2 linked regions of the Neodiprion lecontei genome follow. The protein of the gene in region 1 interacts with the protein of each later gene in a pairwise test. Links are inferred from orthologs where the notes say so. Each region holds a gene or a part of one and is shown in the gene's direction. Other genes may lie near its edges. The genes, in order: phosphatidylinositol-3-phosphatase SAC1 and vesicle-associated membrane protein-associated protein A.

What was found.
Region 2: the proteins of phosphatidylinositol-3-phosphatase SAC1 (region 1) and vesicle-associated membrane protein-associated protein A interact in a two-hybrid assay, tested with the Drosophila melanogaster proteins (2 studies listed by BioGRID). The link is inferred for Neodiprion lecontei from reciprocal best matches to the Drosophila melanogaster genes Sac1 and Vap33.

The regions. Positions count from the first base shown.
Region 1 is NC_060262.1:36,979,737-36,992,281, reverse strand, and holds phosphatidylinositol-3-phosphatase SAC1, read left to right. Parts: upstream 1-4,967; 5' UTR 4,968-5,111; coding exon 5,112-5,149; intron 5,150-5,415; coding exon 5,416-5,507; intron 5,508-5,595; coding exon 5,596-5,936; intron 5,937-6,032; coding exon 6,033-6,144; intron 6,145-6,387; coding exon 6,388-6,731; intron 6,732-6,796; coding exon 6,797-7,174; intron 7,175-7,269; coding exon 7,270-7,437; intron 7,438-7,537; coding exon 7,538-7,816; 3' UTR 7,817-9,031; downstream 9,032-12,545. Other genes in the region: malate dehydrogenase, cytoplasmic, read right to left, coding at 277-472, 1,318-1,320; organic cation transporter protein-like, read right to left, coding at 10,348-10,563, 11,610-11,923. UniProt on the Drosophila melanogaster protein: Phosphoinositide phosphatase which catalyzes the hydrolysis of phosphatidylinositol 3-phosphate (PtdIns(3)P) and phosphatidylinositol 4-phosphate (PtdIns(4)P). Has low activity towards phosphatidylinositol-3,5-bisphosphate (PtdIns(3,5)P2).
Region 2 is NC_060266.1:6,921,561-6,935,210, forward strand, and holds vesicle-associated membrane protein-associated protein A, read left to right. Parts: upstream 1-4,493; 5' UTR 4,494-4,707; coding exon 4,708-4,765; intron 4,766-6,294; coding exon 6,295-6,447; intron 6,448-7,109; coding exon 7,110-7,222; intron 7,223-7,587; coding exon 7,588-7,737; intron 7,738-7,817; coding exon 7,818-7,919; intron 7,920-8,938; coding exon 8,939-9,124; 3' UTR 9,125-10,098; downstream 10,099-13,650. Other genes in the region: methylosome protein 50, read right to left, coding at 1,127-1,313, 1,428-1,620, 1,909-2,081, 2,492-2,831, 3,076-3,175.

The DNA.
Region 1 (12,545 bases):
TCTTTCTAGTTATATAACTTGACAATATATTTTAAGCTTTGAGTAGATATGTATTTAGTATTGAAACAGGAATTCAAGTTCAATTCCCTGCTTCTAAGAAGAGGTCATCTTTGATTTTTCAGGTCGGTCATGTAATGGTACATAGTTGTTGAGTAACAAATGACTAACTGAAGACAACTTGCACATATCTGTTTTTCAGTACTAGACAATTAATATGGCATACTATGTACCAAAAATACAAAAAGGAATTGAAGATTCATAATGCATAATTTTTACCCCTGAGAAGGTTGAGTGCCAGATCATCCAGCTCCATAACGACGCCTTGAAGTACCTCCATCATTGGTGGAATATCCAGGAGTCTCAAGTTAATGGGCTGCTCGGGTCCAAAAACTGAACCAGCTGCCAATTGGTACAGCAAGGAATACGCAATTTGACCTGCAGCCCCGGTGACGACAACATTTATTGGTTCAGCCTGAAATTGTGGACAATAATCGTAAAAATTGTAAAGGATGAGAAAAAGCCTGACTACAACAACTAGAATGGATGTGGGATAATTTTCATAGTTTTATTTATAAATGTTCATTCATATGTTTATGTACAAATCATATCAGTCATGTGGCATGCAATTTGGGCACAAAAGTGTCATCCTTTGGTACATTGTAAATTACTGAAACATTGCAAATATACTTGACGAATATAAAATTTATTAGCTTACATCGGGATTAACTATGTAAAAAATTATCGACTAAGTTTGTCAAGTGTTTACAATATTGTGCAATATCTGTTGGTAGAGCACTTTTTTAAAAAGATTAAACTCCAGATTGTCTTATCAATTATATAACAGGTTTAATCTCCTGCTGGAATGATAAGCTGTTGTTACTTAATTAGTATATGCGTAAATATTCAGACACAGTTGGGGCCAAAAGTTCATGGGAAATAAAAGTGTTTTTTAGAGCAATGAAATTTGATAATACTAGAGGGAGCAAACGAAGCACAGTATATTTTGATTAATCTAACAAAGACCACTTTTGAGAGGGAGTTTTACCTGTAGGAAATAGGTTGCATCGTAGCAAATTCATCAAAATTGATGGAAATTAATTAACATATTCCTGAAATTGACCATAATACTCATTGACAGTGCAATCAATAACAATGACTCACGTCACAACATAGTTTTACATAGTTGATACACGAAGGTCATATGTAGGTTAATAGACCGCTATATCGTAATGTAATACTAAAATTCAATAACCCAGGCTACTTGATTTGAAAAAAAAAAAAAAAAAAAATCGATTGAAAAATAGCAATTAGTCTTACCATTTTAAATGCAGGACGCGAATGGAAACACTTGCGAGTAAAAAAATGTATCAAGAGTAGATATGAATTTTTCTCAACTTTCAAGTAAATGCAAGGAGTAGATCACAGAACGAATGAGAACGAACAAGCTTCGCTTCAACTACTGATAAACTGAGAGGCTGAAGTCCACTGTTCGATCTTTATTAGCTTAACACGTAACCCACGTAACCAATGACGAGATAGCGTTGAATATGTTAAGCTCAATCCACGTCAAAGCCAGCTACCAAGTATCTTTCCACCCACCAGCAGTAGGCGATTAACTCGATACTCAAAACGTGGACGTTGTATTTAGTGAAACTACAACTAGATGACGCTAGTATCGTCGTTTCTCAGTAGAATTCTCATCTGATATCCCAAATGGTTCGAGATTCTGTGTCTTGATGACTTTACTGCTCATGTGCTACGTGAAAGATCAAAATGTCAAATATCAATCCTTGTCAATTGAAGATTGGAAAAATTCACCCAGGCTTAGTATACATCGATATTTACCAGCTACCTACCGTACTAAGTGGTAGCGGTACGACTGGGCGCAGGATTTGTACAAAGTTAGGGTGTGTTTCTTCGCTGGCATTTTCATCCCGTTTCATATGTACCGATCCGTTGACTGAAGAATATAAAGACAGTTGCCCTAATCAGCTTTGGTGTGACAACCGAAAATCATCGATACAAGAAATTAATAATGAGAATAAATGTCTTCCTAAATTCGTAGCAAAACAGTGATTTGATTAAAGTATAGGTACCCGAGATAAGAATGTATACATAGATCATAAATAATAATAGATCAGATGTAATAATGATGCATAGACCAAAAAGTATATATGTATATGCGATCCATGTACGATATTAATATATTTACATTTGAGAATTCGTCACGAAGAGACACAATTTTGACATGTGTGTAAAGCTTGTTGGTATGTGTACACATGTGCAAAATTGTGTCTCTTCGCGACGAATTCTCAAATGTAAACATATTCAATGGCACACGAAAACAACAATCTTCGAAATACAGGTGATGAGAGAAATTAATGACATGTAGTCAGGGCGGCTAGGTGGTCTAGTGGAGTAAGTCTCCGGTAAAGCATCTCTAGATACCAAATTCGATTGCTGGCTCTGTCGTTAATTTTTCAACTCACCTGAAAATTTCGAAATTGTACTTTTATCTAGCTAAGATATCAATATATATGATCCATTTACGATTAATACGTGATGCATACTATAAATTTTATAATTTTCCAGGTGACAAACTAGATTATCTACAATAATACGGCTATAATATGAAAATACAAGAATTATTCATTTCGAAATGGGATTCGATTCGACACGCGCTCGATGTATTCCATAACATTAATATTCCTAATTATTCCAACAACTGTTCAATTGCTCTCTCGATCTTTAATTTTCGTAGGCATAGAATCGAAACTCTGTTTTAGGTAGTCGCAAGTGAAGTATCTGCGTTGGGTAGAAAAGCAGAATTGTTTTTCGAAAAGTGTTCGTATGGAAAAAAATTCAGAGTAACTGTAAACATCACGGATGCGCTAATTTTGATCGAGATGAAATATATGCTCCGTACAAGAGACAGTATTTAACGCAGTGTCCTGATTGAAAGACCTAAAAAGGTGATTGTTGGCAATTTTGTTTCTTGATAGGGAAAAGATAGAACGAAGCTTCTTAAATCTTCGAGTATATTTTGACACACATTCGAAAGGTACGAGCAAAAATTGTTTTCATCCAACTGTCGCAGAACGACAGCGTTATTAGCTGACCCGTAGACTGAAGAATATATCTTTAGTCAACGGCTGACCACGAAGGGCCTAGCCGCTTGAGTCTCGAAACGGCAGGAAAGATAAAGTACGTATTTCTTGTCTGAAATGTAAAAACTGAAATCATTATACATCATATCATATTGTAACGTACTTTGACGTTACGGAAAATAAATATGGATCCGCGAGTTTAATTATCAAGTCAAAAGAAATCAAGAGCGTGAATAAAATGTTGTGAAAATGCTTTAATGCAAGATATGTGTTTCTCGTTTAAAGTCTGAAACAAGACTGTTTATACAATAATGTTGGTTGACGTAGCAACCTTATTCTTTTGAAAGACATAAGAGGTTTATAAACGTCTTTTATCTATGCTGACTACTAGATCATTAAAGAGGGGGCAAAACGGGTGATTTCACCCTTTGTAACAATATCATTATACATCATATCATATCATCATACATCATACATCATACTTCATACATCATACTTCATACATCATACATAGTAATAAAGTTCGAAACCAAAGTTCGGATGTTCAGAAAGTGACGTCACCCAAAATTTTTTTTCCCTTGACGTCATTGATCTATAGTAATCAGCTAGCCGAATTCCTCAGTCTGGAAACAATCGCGCAGTAGAGCGGACGGATCACAATCGCGCTCCGCAGATTTCGAGTACCGAGTTCTCTTATCTCCTGGATCCTGCGCTCCGGGTCCGCTTTCTGGTGCAATTCGAGTTCCAGGACAACCGCTCCGTAGTTTCTATGCTCCAGGTCGGCTACCTGGTGAAACTCGACTTCAGGGACAAGCGCTCCTTAGTTCTGGCTATCCAGGTTCTTGACCTGGTAAGTTTTGACCAAGCGCCGCGTAGTTTCTGCGCACCAGGTCCGCTACCTGGTGAAACTCGACTTCCAGGACAAGCGCTCCGTAGTTCTGGCTGTCCAGGTCCTTGACCTGATGACTTTTGACCTTCCGGACAAATTTTCAAGTTTACAAGTTTGATTATTGAAAACGTCATGTTTTGTACTATCAAACCAATATGCATGCTTCAGATAACATTTGGAAACGGAAAAAAAACTGAACGAAACTGAATGTGATTTAACGTTTTCTTATGAGTTTTTTAGTTCATCGATGATAAAAATATATTTCAGTTCAAAGTAATTTTAGTTTTTACATTTCAGACAAAAATTACACAGTTCATCTTTCCTGCCAATTCGAGATTCCAGCGGCGAGGCGCTTCAATGGCCAGCCAATATGCCATTTTGCGACAATTGATAGTAAGTAAATTTTTTTTGTATCGTCCAAATGTGAGTTAAAATACGCTCAAAATTTTAAAAAGCTTCTTTAGTTATCTCTCTAGCAAAAAAAAAAAAAATAACCAACAATCACCGTTTCGCTTAAAAATTATCGTATTTGATTAATTCAAAAAAAAGTAGTCTTACGTACTCTGTACCGACTCAATCTCAAGCTTTCATACCGACACTACTTTGGCTGCTACGAATGTCAGTGCAAGCTCGTTAGGTAGAGGCGATAGAGCAGAAACCTCCTACGCTCCCAGGCCCACCTGGGCCCGCTTGCCTGCCGAAAACTGATACACGAAAATGTACCCAGGGGTAACTTGTCTTTATGGTCTTCAGTTAACGTCGGAGGTAAATAAGGCTGTGACTATGTGGAGATTTTTGCTTTTTAAATTGTGCGCCAGATGACCTCGAAAACAATTGGTTGGAAATCCACGAGGGCCTTCATATGATCGTGACACGCGATTGGTTCTTAGAGATGGCTCCGTAGGAACGCAGGAACACGTCTCATCTTCTTACGTTATGGCGATCACGGATGAGCGTAGCGTTTATGTAGAGTTAGAGGTTCTGCTGTCATCTTCATGCTTTTCACCACTTTTACCGGTTTCGTGATACCATATCTCTCCCTCCCGCAGTCGGGTCTCGTAGTTGCGTAGCCTCTGCCCTCTGCTCACTGCTGAAACGGACATTAGTAAACCAACATGGCGTTGAACACCGATATTTACGATGATCTTTACCTGTGAGTTTAAATCTGTCTTTCAGCGTTTTAAAATTACGAAGTAAATTATAGTAAAGTGAAAGTACAAAATCGATAAGTCCTGAGTCTACAACGTATGGGATCAATAATTTACCTCTCCTTTTGCCTAACGCGACTCTCATTAGCGGCACTAGGTTATGCCATATCATTCTGTTTAATTTATAATTACTTACTTGTATTAGCCGATACCATACATCATTCATTTGATTTTTAATTCATATGTGGTTTTCGTTTTATTTTTCTTCCAGATACGCAACGCCAGAAAAATTTTATGTCGAACCAGTTGGAACCAAGGAACTATTGGTAGTCGATCGAGTTACCCAGCAAATTTATACCCAAGGTAAGGCAATGGTGATATTGCATCCTAGATCACGTTGAATAAAAAATCAAATTAATGTATTTTGTTATTTTTTGATTCAAATTCTAAGCAGGTACAGCAAGTCAGATTCCTCCTACTGCCAGTCGTCGTAGAATATGGGGAATTGTGGGCACAATACGCCTATTGGCCTGTCGCTACCTGATAGTTATCACAGATGCGGAACGTGTGGGTACTATAGCGGGACACCAGGTTTACAAACTTGGGTCTACGGAAATTATACCATACATGCGATCATTGCTTCATTTGAACGAAAAGCAAATAAGCAACAATACCACTTATCTGGAAATGATCAAGTCTGTATTGAACACACCACATTTTTACTTCAGCTATACCTACGACTTGAGTCACACTATGCAAAGGCTGCATAATACTACGCCTGAATTTTTACAGGTTTGTCCTATTGTACAAAATCTCAATATACTGACAAAAAACTTTCAAAATGCTTATGAGCAAAGAATTGAGAATTGTTTGGCTGCTTAATTCTAGATGCCGATACACGAGCGAGCAGATCTAAGATTTGTTTGGAATGCGTATCTACTACAAGAACTAACTTCTAGGCCTGAGCAGCACAGATTCTGTCTGCCCATTATACATGGCTGTATCCTTTTTGACAAGTATTCCTTTTTTTTTTTTTCAGGAAAGCATCATTACCGTGAAATGTTCAATTCAGTATAATTTTTTTTCTAACAATACCGAATGCTATCACGTCAATCGTATTTAATTGGTTCGTGCCAACTTGAACTATTCATTGTTCATGCAACATCGGTATAAAATAGTGTGGCAATTATTCTTAGCAGTATATTACTCTCAATAATTATTTTCCTTAGCAGTGTGTTTATAGTTTTGTCACTAAGTACAGTAATTGTAAATGGTATTGCATTTAACTGGGGAATAATATCCCGTCGAGGAGTACATCGCGCAGGAACAAGATTGTTTTCTCGTGGGATAGACGCCAATGGAAACGTATCTAATTACGTAGAGACGGAACAGTTGGTAGAAGTGAACGGAGACCGTAGTTCGTTTGTTCAGACCAGAGGATCAATTCCGCTCTTTTGGCAACAGGCTCCAAACCTAAAATATAAGCCCAAGCCGGTGTTAAATAATCAGGAAGATCACCACACTGCTTGCGCACGCCATTTCGAAACACAAATATTTCATTATGGGAAACAGATACTAGTAAATTTGGTGAGTCAAACAAAAAAAATCTCCAATTGTTGAATTTATACCAACTTCTCTTACATGAGTTTTAGATTGATCACAGAGGAGCGGAAGATGTACTTGAAAAAGCCTACTGTGATATTGTCAATAGAATTGGCAATCAAAATGTCCGTTACGAATCGTTCGACTTTCACGCGGAATGCCGAAAAATGCGATGGGACAGATTGAACATTCTAATGGACAGATTGGCCCACGATCAAGAGCAAATGGGCTCCTTTACACTTTCCAGAGATGGAGCGTTACTCTCTGCACAGGATGGAATATTCAGAACAAACTGCATCGATTGTTTGGATAGAACAAATGTTGTACAAAGTATGCTGGCTAGAAGAGCGCTTAGTGACGCATTGAGAAGATTGGGAATACTGCAGCGAGTTGAAGACCATCCGTCGCTAGAATACTTGTTTAAACAGGTAATATTGTTATTCATTTGGAGATAAACAATTCGCTCTTCCCATAACCAGCCTCATAACTGAGATTAGAATTTATCTTTTTTACATATTTTTAGGTTTGGGCAGATAACGCGGACGTAATAAGCATAGAATATTCAGGTACTGGTGCTTTGAAAACTGATTTTACACGTACTGGAAAACGGACTAAACTTGGAGCCATACGAGACGGTGTTAATTCCTTGACCAGATATTACAAAAACAATTTCACCGATGGATACAGACAAGTAAACTTTTTATCGATCAGACATTAGAAATGACCAAGAATACGTAGTACTTGATTAAACTGTCGTGGAATTTATTGCATCTTGCGTTCTTCGTTCACAGGATTCCATAGAGCTTTTCCTGGGACGTTATATTGTGCAAGACGGTGAATGCCTTACGGTGAAATGTCCGTTGGACGCCGAACGTAATTGGCGATACGCTACGTTCCCCTTAGTTTTATTGGTCGCGTCGTCGATGCTCGTCGCTCACGCGATTCTCCCGTCCAGATACACTACAGAAGTATTACTTTACATGCTGTTCTGGGGTGCCATGGTTGGTGGAACGTTTGCGACAGTTATACACCATGGAAAGCAGTATGTTGACAAGCCGAAACTTTTATAGTCAACACGATATACCGAAAGGTGACGGGAAACCATAGAATTGTGATAAGCGTATTTTTTTTTTCTATCAGTTCTGGCGCTGGTGTCAGATAACTACATGTAACATTTATTTACGCCTACAGGGTTTTTACAAAATTATACAACCGTTACTAAAAATAGACAATTTATCTCACAAAGATATAGCTATTAGCCATTGTAATGCAAATCTAATGAAAATCCACCGATAGCCATAAATATAGGTATTTCAATTCGATGGTGAGACGTGCATTTCGACTTCAAGAAATTCTGAGAGTACTGACTTTACCTCAATGTCAGTTGAAAGTTATATTTCCTCTCAAAATTTTCTCAGTTTCATCACTCCTTCCATGTTTCTATTCTTAAATCTAACAGGGTCGAATAATTGACCACTACTGCATTTCTCGTCGAAAAATAACGTGTCTATGATCAGCTTAGCAGAAAATTCACCTATTAGCTTTAAATCTCGTTGTTAATTTACAATTCTACGAAGTTTATACAACATTTTAAGTAGAACATACTTAAAATTTTAATCCAGCTAGACCGCTGTAGAGTTGATGTAATTTTAGTCAATTATGAAAAAAAAAAAAAATTACGTATATATAATGTATATGTATATCACTGGATATTTAAATTTATGAAAATATTTTCTTCCGGTAAAAAATTATGCTATATTATCTAACCATGTAATCTAATTTCGTATTGGCGTCTCAGAATTTTCTCGGCGTGCTCAAGATTTAAAAGAAAAATTCTTATGTAATGGTGGACAAGGAAATATGAAATTATCGACTATCACTGGCTACCAAAGCAGTAAAATACCTATGATCTTGCAGGGTATTCGCGTCGTAAGTACAAACGTCTGGGTATCATGATTGATTGCCCAAATATCAGTAGAGAGCGATGCTGCATGGAGCAATCGTATTTTCCTTGGAACTACTGCTATTGTAGCTATTGTTTGCTAATTATCGATAAGTAGGCGGGATAATGTCGACTTACGACACGTAGGAAAAAGGAATTATGAGATCGGAATTAGGCAAGCGTAAATGAGAAAGTAGGAACAACAGCAAATTTTAAACTTACACTATCGGCAAATTTTTATTCGACAGTAATTATATTGATTTTCGACGGATCGTGTCTTGTAAGTAATGTAACTATATATATATGAAATATGTAAAAATACATTCAAGTTAATAACGGATAATTTTATCTATCCATTCATTTCGCTGATGAATTAAGCGGACGTTAATTACTTCCGACTATAAAACTGATAGAACAACATAACAGAATCTATCATTGCCCTGATTTAATCCGTTAACATTAACGATGACTGAATTATCCTTCAGATGACATAAAATTAAAACATGGTATTCAATTATCGCACTTCTATTTCTTCTTCAAATAATGTCAGGCGATATATGAGACTGACGTACGCGACCGCAACAATTTGCTAACTCATCTATCGGGTAGAATTTAGATTTAGGTAGAACAATACGGTGTCAATATGGGCGCGTAACGACAGCTTAATCAAAGTTGAGTATTTGCTGTCGGATTTTGTACTCATTGGCGGCCGTGTAATAGTTTCATTAACGCGTTTCAGCATGAGATAGAACATCGGTTATTTATCCAACCGTCCAACCGGCTGTAGCTGTACGTATTAACAAAGTTTACCACGAGTACCTTGTAAATTTATTATTAGTATTTTTATCATCGTCATCGTCGATAATATCACCAATATATATCTTAAATCTTACACAACCATAGAATCAGCGTTAGAATCACATACGCGTGTAACGTAATATAGGAAATTCTGCTGAATGAAGTTATTTCAACATCAAAGATTCCCTTTAGCGTCGAATTTTCCGATGTTTTCCCCGCGCTAGCTTTTCCATGTTTCATGCACAATTAATGTTGTATTAACTGTTCAACGTACTAGGTATAACGTATTTATAGAGGATAAACGGGATTCGCGAACTTGATCGGATTTTGGTGAGTTAATAATAGACAATACAGCATCGGCATTATGAATGTTGAATTTCCGCTGATTATAAGTCAACAGTCATATGGATACGCGAAAGTTCAAATAGCTGATCACAAGCCTAATTAAAATATGTTTCTGTCCGAATCCGAAAAAAAAATAAATTTCAGTCTCGAGAGAGCAAAGGCGTGAAATTCCCCGCGAAAAAGCTCCTGCGTTCCAAGTGGAAATACTTTTTTATTTCCTCTTTATATTTTGCGGATATCAAATTCTCCACTAAACAAGAATAGTAATACCTCGGGGTAACTTAATACTACACTTAAAAAAACAGGATTAATTAAAACTCTAAGGATTGAGCGAGCGGCTGAAAAAGAAAAATTTAAAAAAATGTCACGATTCAAACTAAGAAACTTGCAAAAAAATATACTCGTAGTGAAAAGAATATCATTCATAATCTGATGTATTTCAATTACACGCTGATCACAATATACACATTAAGCATATTAGCATAAATTATGTTGTCAGTCGAAATTCTACAAATCTTACACGTTGGTACGAGTTTTACCGAGGTATCTGCAGAGCGTACAATTTTTTATGGACACCTTTTCTTCGGGATGATCTCGACACCTGCTCGAGAGATCATCCAGGGTGTCGTAGAGGGCGAGATCTTTCGTCTCCGGTAAAGTTTGCGTCAGAAACCCGGCCAGAAGCAGTCCCAGACCGCATATTGTGGAGGGAATAAACCATCCGTATATTGCCTGAAAAGAGCAATAATTCTTGGCTGTGTGCTCCGGCTTTGAGTATATGCTGTACGAAAAAGTTGCAAGAAATATGCGAAAACAACGTTCGAAACGGGGTCGTACACTTTAGACTTTATATATGGTCGGGTGAAAAAAAATTCAGCGGAGATCGTTATTCACCTATAAAAGATGTGCGAGTTTGTCTTTTTCTGGAAGAATGTTTTTTTTTAGAGGATTTTAATGAAGTGAGAATGACTTACATTGAAATATGACTTTTGCGCTAAGCGTCTGTGATTTAAGTTGAAATTACTCTGTAAACACACAACATTTTTCTTTTCTTCTCAGAAACTGTGACCTGAGATTAGAATTTTTTCCACCAAAACGAAACGTGTGAAGGAAAGTTATTCGTGGATATCCTGTTTGTTGTTTCTTCATTAACCTGACAAAGTCCCCGGTAAGTGAATGATTAATTTTATCGCAAACGAAGCGGCGGACTAGACACTCGTCGCGTTATTCCGTAATTGAACTTTTACGGAAGGTTGATTTTGTAACAATTAAGTTCCATATCGGGTATATACTGACTGTAGGTGTGTTGTGTACTTGAAACAAACACAAACTCACGCGTACACAATACTAATTACTCAGAGTCGACTTTGACGAGGCCTCGCAGGATTCGCGCGACACGTAGCTCCGTTTAATTAAGTTTTCCATTATGGTGTAATTAATCGTTGTTGCATTGATTAGTTTTGGAATTACAATTGAATGAAAAGCAAGGAGTCGGTGCCAGCATTTTACCCCCTGAGGTACACAGAACAAGTCTCAAAACGCAGACTATAAAAAAAAGTAGAGAACAGGGCGCATATTATTGACTCCGGAAATCGGCAGAAAAGATCTGCAGGAAATCTGCAAACTTGTAACTGGACCCATAGTCTTTTGTTATTTAAAATTTTTTTCATTCAGACAATTCAGGATCTCAAGACAGCGCAAAGCGATGCCGAAACGCATAATTCCTTTCTCTAATTCTATTTTAATAGACGCTGTATGTACTTCAAGACGGCACTCACAAAGAAGTCGACGAGGTAAGGCGCGAAAACGCTCCCTGCATGCGCCATGGTGGAGCTGGTTCCAATCGCGGTGTTCCTGGTCACAGTTGGAAACAATTCAAACGCGTGAATAATGATGACCGAGAAGACGGCGCTCACGCAAAGCCGACCTAGAAGAGAGGCTGCCACTTTCCACCCCGTCATGTTGGTTGGGATGATCAAGAGGAGCAGGAGAGCAAAGCTCGCTGTCAAGAGAAGACCCGTTGCCACCGTTCGCCTCCCAACGACGCGCAACAACGGTACCGGAAACACGTAGCTGGTTGCCTCGACGACTCCTGGAAGGACGAAATCGGTGGTAAGGGATTGGTTGACAGGCCCTTAGCTTAATCGGTGAACGATACTACTGAACATCACCCGAGATGCAGGAAAACGAGTTGTGAGAACAATATTGTACTCTCTTTTATTCGTCATCTTGATATCAAACTCTGCATCATGTGCATATTATTCAACCGTTTCCCCGATCCCACGATCGAAGCGAAAAACGAAAACGGGATATGAATATTTTACACGCCCGTATCGTATTTGAACGTAAAGTCATATGAATTTCAGAGTTGTTCGTCGAGTCATTTTTCGTAAAGACATTTTTCGTTAGAAAGAGCCGTATTTCCGACAGGAAACTGATAATTTTCTTGTGTCATCGTACAGGGGTTGAAAAGTGAAGATTTAATTCAACGTTGGGGGAAAAAATTCTGCACGCGAAATTTATTATCTAATCGCAAAAAACATACGCTTGTGCAAAAGAAAAAGTAAATGAACGCCTGCTAACCTCGTAGGAGTTACACCCGTGCGGGATATATCGGAGTGATATGAGGGCGCAGGGTGACGTAATTTCCACCCTATATTATTCGCACGTTGACACAAAGAGGGCCCGAGGTGAGTTGGGGGAGATGACAGAGG
Region 2 (13,650 bases), on another chromosome or scaffold:
CGAAAGTTGACTCCATTTTGTCAGATAACCTAGAAAAGTTGTTGTGAATGTCAGAAAGAATTGTTGAAGAAAATGAACGTGACAGAAGTGTAATATATAAAATATGTAATAAATAATATAAATATATATAAGTTATATTGAATGGGTCTGAGGCATCGCGTAGTGTTCGTCGTATTCTGAGCATTCGATTTTCCCGATTTTGCATAATCACGATCACTAAATTATTCATTGTACAAGTTCCCACGTATCAATAACTTTTACTCTTTAACCAACAAATATGGAGTGATCTTCGTTCTTTTATGAAACCGATGGAACTTTCAGGCAAATCCAAGCAAATTACGCTCACGAGCATGCGCAGAACGATTCTCGACACCGAATTTCGTGTCGAGTTTATTCATGTGGATAACGTCTTTTCACCTCGTGAGATTCACCGTAATAGAGCGAGCCAGTCACTTTCGTCATTTTCACTCGATTCGAGAACCGTAATAAGCCCCCTAGTCTGCCTTTATACGTTTTACGGCGTGTTCCACTCAGAAGGTTTGCCCCGATGCCGGGCGACGCATGCACGGAACGAATGCCCCCTGTTCGAGCCAGTGCAACCAGTAGAAAACGCTATGAAATATATTTCTATATTTCAGTGATCACACTTTTTAGTGACTGTAGTGGTTGGATCTAACGGAATAGGCCAATGAAACAACTTAGTGTCATGTGTCAGAAATTGACACAAGGACAGTGCATGTTCAATCGCGTTTTTGAGACAAATCGGGAAAGGGATGATCGTTTCAATTACCTTACGATTAAAAATATTAACACAGTTCAGAATGATGTAAGCTTACTCGAGATTGCATAAGAATGGCATGTTGGGAAGTTATTATTTGTGTTCATGAATACTGGTATGTTGTATGTATGAAATTACAACCATGTATTAAAATTGTTAAAACGAAACCAATGATACAATAGTATATACAATGTTGTAAGCATTTATTAAAAATGTATGAAATAAACAGTAACTTCAAATTGTTAGGGCACTGATTCAGATGACAATTAACGAGGCAACATCTCGACATAACGAATGACTTGCATAGTTGTCGATTCTGTATCGAGTAATTTAATGTGCAAATCAACATCAAGAAGATATCGCATGTTCCAGAACAGTGTTATCCCAGGAAGCTGTTAGTAGACAATTTTGGTCCCATGCCAATCCACGAACAAAGTCACGATGGTTCTTATTTTCGTATATCACTTCCATGTTGTGGCTTGTATCGAACACCTTCACCTCTGTACTATCGCAGCATCCAGCAAATTGGTCATTTCTATGCAAATTGAATAATTAGGGCAAGTATAAAAATAATTTCAGTGTTGTAGAAACATTATACTCATGTACATAGCCACTGGGAATGAATCAAGCGAAATTGGTTCACACAAACCTGGCTGAATTGAATAAAAGCCTGTAAACTCCTCTAGAAAAAGCTCGAGGGTTTTGGAAAACAGGTTCACTATTTGATTGCCTGACATCAAGCACTAAAATTCTACCATCTGCATCTCCAATCACAAGTTCATGTACATTTTTCGGATTCCATGCTGCTGCAGTCAGTCCACATTCGACATTTTTGATTATACCTTGGAATAGTATTATGATACAGTCACTAATGTTACAGAGGAAAACGAATGTGAAATATTATCAAGTATCTGAAATTAAGCACTTCGCATCAGTTAAGACACTTTGTGGCTTATGTCTGATAATTACAAAATTGAAATCAATGCTAAAGTTGAATATTTGTGTAAAGTGTTTCAGGTTAGTTATTTTTCAAAAAACTTTGCAGAGCAAAAGTCGATGACAAAGGTCGATGACCATGATCAAAAATCTAGATTCATTAACAAAGAGGGATTCATAAACTGCATACATACAGCTGGCTGGCTTTGGTTGTCGGAGATCCCACAGTAATGCATCGTGATCAAGAGAAGTAGATGCAAAGATATCTATGGATTTGGGTTGCGCTTGTACGCAAGTCACTGTATCTGTGTGAGCCGGACTGAAAGTATGACTGGAATACAACTCAACCGTATCCCAAACTTTTATGCTGGAAAAATTAACGAAATTTCATTTACATTATACAAATTCATATTTTGATATGAATCAACCAAATATTAGCATCATTGGTTGAGTATGATTTATTGCAATAAGTAATACTGTTAATGTTCAAGCATGCGCGCAGTAATTAACTAATGTTGCAAAAACCATAAACTATACAACTGCTCTTGTAACATACAAAGAAGCACCTGCTGTAAGATTAACGAATATCAGTTACAAGTAACTTTTAACAAATGGAAGCCCACAGAATTGAATCACATTGTGAGCAGTTTGGACCAAGTAAAATGAGATTCAAAATCTAGAATCTTCATCCACAGCATAAGATGAACAGATCTGAGTTTTTGGAATTTATTAAAGGTAACTTATATTGATCGCTCTGAGCAATTTTTTTGCTAATACCAATAATCCATCCCTCCTGTAACTAGACGAGTGTTTGTATCGAAGGCTGATACGGATGTGATGGCATCGTCATGCTCAAATGAATATCCTAAACATTGTAACTCATAGTTGTGTGTGTCAGCCATCTCATTTATACTAAGAATCTGAAGAACTCCGCTGTCTTCACAGATTACAAATTTATTAGTTCCACTTAAGCATGCACCGTCACATACTCCACTTTCAGTTTTCATAGCGGTTGTTGCTTTGTCTCTATTGAAGTCGGTATGATCCTTGTAATACCAAACAGTGCCATTCCAATAACGGTCTGTCATATTACTCGCACCTAATATTGCGCCAATACCTGTAAATCATGGATTTGATTGCAATTGGAATGCAATAGTGTTACTTAAACAAATCTGTGAGGCAAAAATGAAAACAAGGTTTCAGTACTTTGATGGATGGTCAATTGACTTAATTTCAACTTCACAGTATCTCAGAGGCAGAGAATAATACGTAACAACTCATACTGACAGTTTGTTGCTATAAATGTTCTAGCGATATAAATTTTAGGTGGCATTAATGCCGGGTAACCTCAAGAATATTACCATCAGAAACCAGAATGAACTGCAGATGCCGATCAACATTCGGCGGTATATCGGCAGAAGTCATGTTTCTGTAAATCTCGGCATTTAAATTAGGATCCATCGCTGTATTACCGAACTTCGTTATTAAAAAATGATTAATACACAAATTTGATTAGTAGTTCTCAACAACTTAGCGCGTCGCACGCCTGCCACATGTGTGAGGTTTCTCTCTGTGAGAAGGCGATAGCGCGGTAGAAAGAGAAGGCTGGCGCTAGAGAATGCTGAGCGCGCATGCGCGCGATTAGACAAGGATAGAAGGATGGGCCCATATGCAGCTTTCTCTTTCTATCCCGCTATCGCATTCACCAACGGGCTACCTCCGAGCTCGCGCGGTCTATTGTTATATGTTTATGGGTGTATTCCGCCAGGGAACTGTGGCAGTCCAGTAATAGTATATTTATAATTTTCTAACTAGCGGTTGGTACTATTTACTGGTCATTTAATGCCAAAGTGTTCCATCGTGCTGGGCACAGTAACAGTGACGGATTTGATCTTCAATTTCGGGTGATGATTAAAATAAAAATAAAAATAGGTTTAACACAGTAATTTAAAATTGTAAATAAAGATAATGATTATATTTCAATTATAAAAGATCACAATAAATTATATTTATTTAGGATTTGTTCGAGAGACTATTCTAACGACAATAACACTCGTTTACTATCCAGCACGGTGGAACACTTTGGCAGTAAATAACCAGTAAATATCACCAGCCGCTAGTTAGAAAATTCAAATATACTATTACTGAACTGCCACAGTTCCCTGGCGGAATAACACCCATGGCAATCAGTTTAGGGAGTAGAACAAGAGAAACTGAAATAACAAAATTGTAGCTCCGCGAAAGCGTCTACTAAATAAATAACTGAATGCATCGAAGGCCTGCGATTGAAGAACCGGCATAAGCATGAACGACAATAGACTCATTCGATTGTGGCGTTTGGGCAAGCTAGCAGACGATTATTAGGGCGCTCTGTTGTCATACGACGATTGTGGTTGGTCAAAAGATTGCCCGATAACACATAAAAACATTATAATCGAACGTAGCTACTGATAAAGAGACGCAAACGCGGCTCACAACGAAGATACATGGAAGGAATGTCGTCGATGTGTTCGTTTAACTGCGTAAACATGACGTATTCGTAGATGACATGTGTCACGGGCGCATGTGCGTTCATGCGTATCGCGCTTCATGCGTAATTTCCATGTAAAATTTCAGGGTACTTCAAACGAGTGCGTTGAGAATTTCATCGGTGCATTCTGCTGGACCGAAGCTACAATTGGTTTATCAATGTCGTCGGCAAGTGGGCATGGAAATAAGCCGTTAAACTTAGCGTAGTAGTGAATATGATTAGCGTGGTAGAGGTCGTTGGGGAATGACGTAACGCAAGAAGAGACCTCAGCTATACATAATTTCCGTAAATGACGCATGCGTATTTTGTGAAAACTGCAAATCAGAATTAGTTCAACGGAATCCCAGCTAGTGGAAGTGAGCGCGGGGTTGCAAGGAGAAAATTTTCTCATCAAGTGTTTAATAAATCTGTCACATTACGGTCGGGACGAGAGGATAATACCGCGAGGCGAGGCGTTAAAAACATGGCTAAGCCCGAGCAGATTTTAATTATCGAGCCACAGGGCGAGCTGCGGTTCAGGGGTACGCGGGTTCTCTCATTTACTTTCAATACACACAATGCATTTCGCATATATACATGCTTCGTACTTTGTAGCGGTGTTAGCGACACGGACACGGATATCATACAAGCAGCGTGTGACTGTGTGCCGGATATCCGTGCCTTTAGACGATCGGATACTCGCATTTTTTATCGTCCACGTTTCGTCCTGTTCGCACTTTACCCGCAGACCTCAACTCCTGTTTCCTAACCCGTCTCATTTACGTCGACGTTGCTGTCAAAGTTTTATCTTCTCCGAGTTTACACAGCCGCTCCCCCCCTTGCATTCGTTCCTCCCCCACCCCCTTCCGCGATCCACCAATCATCATTTCCCTTTACCCCATCTTTGCCCGCTTTTCCACATGTCTCCTATTCACCCCAAGACTCGACACTCGGACTTTGCCTTTTCTCAATATATCAACGCTCATCGACAACTCTCTTCCTGCCAGCACCTGCTGCGCTTAATTATCATGCTATTTTCATCCGTCGTGGGAGTGGCCCTTTTATCAAAATATACTTTTCATTACCGCCATTCGTTTCCAATGTATATTTATTATCTTACAGATTGTCTTCTATTCCGACTCCTTAGCCGGTGCTTATATGTATTTTTAGGTATTCACACTCCGCTTACTTGGCCAGGGAATATGTCTCCAGATCTTCGATTACTTCTTTCCATCTAATTATTATTGCTCGTAGGATGTTCATTTCACTCGACATATAATCAGTTTGGATTTCTTTCAAAATTCGTACAATGTTCATCTGATATAGAATCGTCGATTTGTTACTTCTGTACTTTGGATCGGACAACGAATGTTGGATTTTTTTGTTTGAAATGTATTGTAAATAGTATAAGCAAATGAAAAAGGTATAATTGTTTCAATTTTGACAATACTTTGTACGTTAATGCGTTGACGAGAGGAAAGATTTTCTTACTATATCTTGATTTCAGCCTTTGGTAATAATCTTTTGTTAATGTCCAAATAATCAGGTTGCATTCATATTATATCACAATTGTCAAGAGTGATTACCTTGCGCTCAAGCAAACTGAGTTGCTTAGACAAGAGATTTTTGTTTCAGACATTTAATGACATCACCCTCTTCTAACTAATCAAGTAATCTTGAGAAATAGATCCTTGATCAAATACTCAAGTGGTTTTCATTGAAATGTGATTCACTAAATTCAAATTTTGCAAATTCATTCATTTTCATTCCAACGTGTAATTAGCACTACGGTATCAGAGTAAATGGAAATAGATGTTTGTTGTTTGGACAATTTACCAATACTCTTAGGCATTGCTAACGTAACATTTCACATAACTTCAATAGTACCGTCGTTGCAAGGTGATAGTATAATCTGATAAATTATGTGTGGAAGCAATTGTCATGCAAATGTAGGAATTGCTGGATACAGAATAAAGAATATATGAGAAACAGAAAACACAACACAAAAGTCGTACCAGCGCATGAGTTTAACGTACATGAAAATACGTTTTGTCTTCTTTTTTTTTCGCAGGACCTTTTACATCTCCGGTCACAACGTATATGAAACTGACCAATCCGTCGGACCACAAAGTGTATTTTAAAATAAAGACGACTGCCCCTAAGAAGTACTGCGTCCGGCCCAATTCTGGCGCCCTAAAGCCTAAGGGTGTCACTCAAATAGCAGGTACTTTCCATTATTCAACAGCAGATGGATTTCATATTCTTAGACAATCGCTAGCATTCACCTAGTCATTTTTTTTATTCGTTAAGAATATACTGTAAAAATTTTTAGATTGTCATTTTTATTTTCAAAATTTACCAAAGCAATTTTCATTGTAACCAGAAGTTAGTGCTGTAATAATCATTACAGAACCATAGTCAAAAAGTTGTTCTGAACCTGCTTCATAAATTGTCGTTTTTTTCTTTATCTTCTCATCTGTTCTGGACAGTCAAGTTTTTTGCGCACAGAATTGGCAAACAGTTATACAGCCAATTAAATTTTATAGATATAAAACGCAGTGCACTACTATCTTTCATTTTAAGCAGGTTTTAGTTAGAGTCAACATTTCCAATATATTCGTAATAGCTCTTGAGCCTTTATTGCATATTCAAATTATTGTATAATATTCTCTCTTTTCCAAACAATAGGCAAGTCTAATTACAATTGTGATTGTAGCCTTAGATAATACATGAAATATGACTCTTGGATGTTGCTTAAATTACTGACACATTGGCATATGCAATATTAGTTTGTTAGAAGTTGATTATTATTTCACACGTGTATATAATATTTTGTTTACTTTTAAATAACAGAAGATATTTCTTAATATAAAATTTCTTTCACAGTATGCTTACAACCATTTGACTTTGTTCCTGGCGAGAAAAATAAACACAAGTTTATGGTTCAAACTATGATAGCTCCTGAGGATGACGACGAAGATTTTGTCAACGAGTCGTTGGTATGTTTTGCAAGCCTGAAATACATGCCATATGTGCTTCTGAACACATTTTAAGCTTCCAAAATATTATTTCACTTGTCAGCGTACGTACAGATTTGAATGCATCAGTTGACAAAATAAAAGATATCTTCATGACTACCAAATAATTCTTATGCGATGGAAAGAAGTCTGATATTGCATTAAATATATTTGCAATAAAAAACGATAGCTATTGAAGAAACTACATCGACACTGCTAGCTAGTATTATACAAATATGTACGGATGTATAAAACTTATCGCGAATGGATCAGTGTATCCGAAAAAATGCTAAGCAAATTTCGAAGATAAGATAATACACGAAGCATGTAATTAACATCAATTTCAGTGGAAGGACATAAATCCAGATCAGTTAATGGACTTCAAACTGAAGTGTGTCTTCGAAAATCCAGTAAGCAATACCACAGCTGAGAGCAGCGATGCTGCGGATGATGATAAAAACAAGGGGATCGGCGATTCTGTCAAATCATCTCCCAAGGTGCGTTCTGAGACGATAATATCCTCCGTTTTAATTAACATATTGGTTCTAAAATTCAATTTCATTATCTATTAATCTAGCCACATGGAAAGATGGAGGAAGAACTAATGAAAGCGGCACTCGAAGTAAAGCAACTCAGGGAGGAAGAGAGCAACCTTAGGCAGGAAAACCTTCAGCTGAAGGTAAATCAATTCGCCATTTCACGACCATATTTATGACAATTTTATACCGATTTCTATATTTTGTGAAAACAATATTGCTATTACATGCTTCCACGAACGTTTTAATAATTACATATAACTACATTATCCGTTTCCGATGTTATCCGATGTAGATACGTTAAACTTCGATTTTTTTTTTTCTTAATTTTTGGTTGTTGTTTCCATTCTATACTACCAATATTTTCAAACGCACTCTTTAATTCAAACGCACAACATGCATGTTCTAACTCGTTTTCCTGTACATATTAAGTGTCTTTGTGGTGATAATTTGCTAACAAACGATTATACGTACACATAATATATCCATCTTAGTATATTCCTATTTTATTTCTTCAGGCTCATTCTGTCACTGTACGTGGTTTGGTTTACCCTCTATTATTTCATGGTATTTTCAGATTCATCATTCCCTTTGCGCTTACGGTCAACACTTTTCGTGTTGTTTTTGCGGCTTGCTTTCTCAGGTTTTTTTCCCACTGCTTTTATTATTTAAAGGCACTAAGGTTGAAGGAATTTTGCCAAAGAAATGACTAAATCGTCTATCATTTGGCAGAGTGATCATTTTAAATTAGATACAAAGAGAACACTGTCAAGTTTAAATTAGAAGTACGATCTATTTTCTGACCATGTTCAAATTTATGCATTGCTCAATTCTTCAGCAACATAATTCTAGTCATTATATTTCAGTTCTACTTCGCCAGTGTCAATAGATTCTATGTGCTCGTTTACCCATTCTAGTAATTTTACTTATTCTCTGCAAAGCCCTGATTTAGCCTTTTTCTAATCATTACTTACACCTATCTTGTTTGTTACGACAAGACGAAGCTTCTATGATTTGTTCATAATTTGTATATCATCAGAAATCGTCAATTATACGTGGTAACATTGAGAAAAGTATTTGTCAAGACTTCAGCCGATGACTTGCATTCAATCATTCGATCGTTATACTAATAAGTATAATTGACTGTGAATTTTCATAATAGGAAGAGCTTATAAGATTGCGGCATGCTGCATCGGGCACAGCGACTATTACAAGTGGAAACATGGCAGCGCTTGCGGGACTGACAGCGAACAGTGGCGACAAGTTAAATCCAACTAAAATTCCTACCAGTGTACTCATCGCCATTGCCATGGTGGTAGTCGGATACTTGCTGGGGAAGTTAATCTGAGCACATCTGCCTTGCCGATAACTCCAGCCCCCCTCCTCCCCCCTCGCCCCTCCCCCATACCCAAAAATTTTCATGGCTGAACCGCTGCGTGGTTCATTGCCATTAGCACGAAGCGTAAACGTCTCAAGTTGTCCTGTTAATTAATTGTTCAGTGAAAAACGAAAAGAAAGAAAAAAAAAAAAATTTGAAACCAAATTCTATCGTGGTTTACATTAATCGAGTCATCCTGTAGGGCATTGTGCTTACTTTTTTTTATAATGCAAATAAAATATCCGACGGTTTTTTTTTTTTTTTAAGCTTTTTTTCTTAAATCTCTTTTAAACTTTAATTTTCCATATGACTTGTCTGATGTTTCGAACGCGCAACACTGCGACCCTCGACTATGCGTATAAGTACATACAGTACAGATTTTTTCTGTCAATGAAATTTAATAAATTGAAATAATATGACGATAGCAGATGTTACAAGTATTGATTCTCAATTACGACAAGTCTATTCCTTCTTTCTTCGTTTTCTGTGTTTTTTTTTTTGTTCCTTCCATGTCTTTGAAACCATGTCGCCACTAATAAGTATGTAAATTATGGAATTATTGATAAATGTTATAATAAATAGTACGAATGATATTATGTTTAAATCAGACCGCATAATTGTATACATACACACACACACACACACACGTGCATATTACGCACCTGATATATTACGTCGAAACGAACTTTGTTGTACATAATGCATTAAAAGTGAAAATTCATATATTGATAATATCAGGGTGGGGGTGACGGCTGAATAAGTAGTGATGCGCAACGTGGCGAACTTGGGCATAATAAACGTCGGTGTGTAACTCTGGCAACGGCTTGCTGTGCGTAAGTTGTTGACGCATTCAATTTATCAACGCTTCAAGTGTAATTTTTATTTATTTATGTTTGTCTAATATAAATGAAACTAAAGATTAAAAAAAAAAAAAAAAAAAAAAATAAAGGAGAAGGGAGAGAAAAAAAGAACACGCAAAATACAATTAAATCAAAATAAAGGTAATTCCCAGCTGTCGAAACGATGTGAGTATATTGCTTAAATCCTTGAAATCCAAATAGAAAATTGTTTTATATCCGAGAGTGGTGCATGGTGTGCAGAGACATGGTTAATTGCAAATGACTGTTAGCAAGAAGAAGAGTGAAAAAAAATAAAAGAAAACCATGGGGAAAGCTGAAAATGTTTGACGGGTCCGATGCCACTTACATTAGTTTATCGAACAAGACGGCACATCGGTGCTTTAAAGATAGGCGCGAGATGTTGAAATTCGATTAGTGAAATGAGTTGTCGTTTCTTTGGTTTTATTTTTTTCGTTTTTTAATATTTTCAGTTTTATCTTATAAACGTAATCACGTAAGTGTCTCCTCATTTCATTCTACACTAACATTGTATCGCAAAGCAAAAAACTTTTTACAACTTTGATGTATTGAATGGAACTTTCATATGCAACTTGTTGAAAAATTCAGATTGTAGAACAATCGATAGCTGAATTTCTATGTTCACGCTAAAACTTATCAGGCGAAAGTCTTGTGGAACGGAATACAAAACGAGGGCTTATTCCGCCCTGTGAGACTCGCAGCTTTGATCTACGCGTGTGTATATTTAAAAGTGAACAGTAGGATTACGATTGGGAGTTATAATAAGAGTTAAATATGAGAGAGAGAGAGAGATAGAGAGATAGAGAGAGCAAAAGGCAGAGAAATAGAGTACTAGGGAGGGGTTTCATTAAGTGGTATAATAAATGGGTGCTAGGTTCGGCTGACTAGGCGGTGATTTATTCTCTAGCTGTAGCTAGGACAAGATCGATGTAATGTAATTGTGATTTAATTTACTACTAAATAAGGTAAACGTCAACGTTGATACTGCGAACGAGTGAACTTCTCTCACTATACTCGAGAAATAAGTTTTAACGATAAGTTACCTCACGCTTATAATGTCATGAGGAATTCCAGCTAATGTTTGAGAGAAGAACCGGCGGTCATCCTATTACAAGCATAAGTCCACGTTAAGAATGCGCAGGAGATTTGGTTTACACTTTCATTTGAACGAATTATTATCGATATAATATATTATAATATAGCGTGATCAGGAATAGAGCGTATAGCGTTTTTAAAATACCAAACATACTTTGTGTCCTGATTCTTATTGTAAGATTGTAACTCGTTATATTTCTGGTCCATATTCTGTGAATGAATCCGATATAAACGTACGAAAACTATTGTGCCTATTTAAGCACTTTGTTTTCTTTTTTTTTTTTTTTTTTAATGATAGTGAAACAAAAAAAAAAAAAATAATAATTTCGATGAATAAACGAAGCTTAAAATCACCTTAGGGTTGACATCAATTCCACGTAAGAATTTCATCCGATGAAATTATCAATGGACAAGTTTCACGTATAATATTTGATCAGGTATATTTTGCTATAGATCTCGGAAGTCAATTTGAAATCCGATTGTGCAGTTTTTTCATTTATTCGTTGAATTTTACGGATTAAAAATGATTCAAACATTTAGGTTTCAATTACTGGATGATAATTCAGAAAGTTCAGTCATAGAATTAGGATGGCTAGCAAATCACCACCCACGTTTTTTTTATATTCCCGTTGCGATATTGTTACAATAGGTCATTTTTTAATAAAAATTTACTTACCGATAATCTTACGAATTACGTTCGAGTTTTTCTACAACTTTAATTGCATTCACAATCGATCCAGTTTATGTGTCGAACGCTACTCTTCCTCTACATAATTTTGCTGTTAAAAACTTGACTGTCGTATGATTATTTTACACTATAATTCGACCGATTTTTTAATTTAAAATTTATTTTTCAATCATCAGTTTATCGTTCGTTACAAAGTTAAATGAACGTGCGCAAAGGAATTTTTTTTATCCAATCCGTAAGTGTTAATTATTGGAATCTGGTGAAATATGAAATGCACTTCATTTAAGAGAAAAGTTTTCGTATCGCGATATTTTCGCAGTATTAGGTTTTCTTGATTTTCATTTAATTTCGTTCTTCTTTTACAGGTAAAAGTAAGAATATATTTTCTTATGTTCTTGGCGTTCTTTAATAATTGTTACGAAAAAACAATCGTCGAAGTTCCGGGGATTGCGTTGAGTTTGGTCTTTTGCTTTACATTACAATCATTAAATGACCTGAAAAATTTGTTAAATTCTTACGAAACCTTCCAGTAATGATATAACAGTGGAATAATGTTTTTAGATAACATTTGTTGCCAATTCTCACTTCGTGTACCATATTGCGCAGAAAGTTCGTGTTTGTAAGGTCCTCAAAATTGTAAACACGCTATTTCAACAATATACATAATACATGTTTTAATACACTTGAAGGTGAAAGTTGTTGCATAGAGTAAATAATAAGTGGCATAATGTGTTGAATGTAAATGAATATACATTCATTTCACTTTTATCTCAATCTTACACCTACGTTCCATCAGACGAATTAAACTCATTCTTCTGGTAGAACATATCGCGCTTGGGATTATTATTATTATCGAATTTAAACTTTGATTAGTTGTACAAAATATGTATGATATATTTGAATTTACTCCAGCTCCCTCAATTTTTATTGTAATTAATCCAGACACCCAATGTAATGTAATAACTAATTTTTACCCAATTTCAAGCTGTTATCATATACATACATATAATAATGATAAAAAAATAAACAATAATATTAATAATAATGATAACCTAAGGAAATAATAATAATAATAATAATAAATGTGTTTATCGGTGAATCGCGATACTCTTTTTCTTGTCTCAGCTGCAGCCACGTTTACTTTTCTTTCCTTTGAGTTGCAATTGGTGGTTATAACAGATCTTGTTTTATTCATCCACGTTGTGCCGGTTGTTCGTTTCGCATGATGATTGTTTGATTCCATGTTGATTACTCATTGTGTAAATAAAATTCTTCGGGACAAAACATAGTTACATGAAGTTTCCTTGCGCTTAAATTCTCCTTTCGAATCGCAATCGGATTCATTAATGAAAATGTGATGCTGCGACATCTGGTTGCAAAAATAACGTTTTACTAACTGTTCGATTAAAAAATGAACAGGTCAGAATAGGTTACGAAGTTCAATGGGATGTTATTAACGATTGTTCAGTAGAAAGTATATTTGTGTAACTCAAGCATGTTTTACGCGTTTTTTCGTGCATGTTTTTCGTACACAAAGTACTTGTTTCTATGACGATAGGGTGACACTATGAATGCGCATGCGCTGTCGCAAACAAATCTGACATTAAGCGGCCCTAACCTCAATTCCGTGCCTCGTGAAAAAACAGGTAATATATTCTTATTACATAAAGAATTGTGTGCAACAACTTGTTACGCAATATACTATTTTAGTACAAGAATGCCCAAAGTAGTTCTATCGGTTTAAATTAGAGTTTTGCGTTAGAATTATTCAATTAATTTGTTACGTATTGGTTTGAAATATTGTTTGAGGTACAGCGTACGCCCACCAGGCGTAA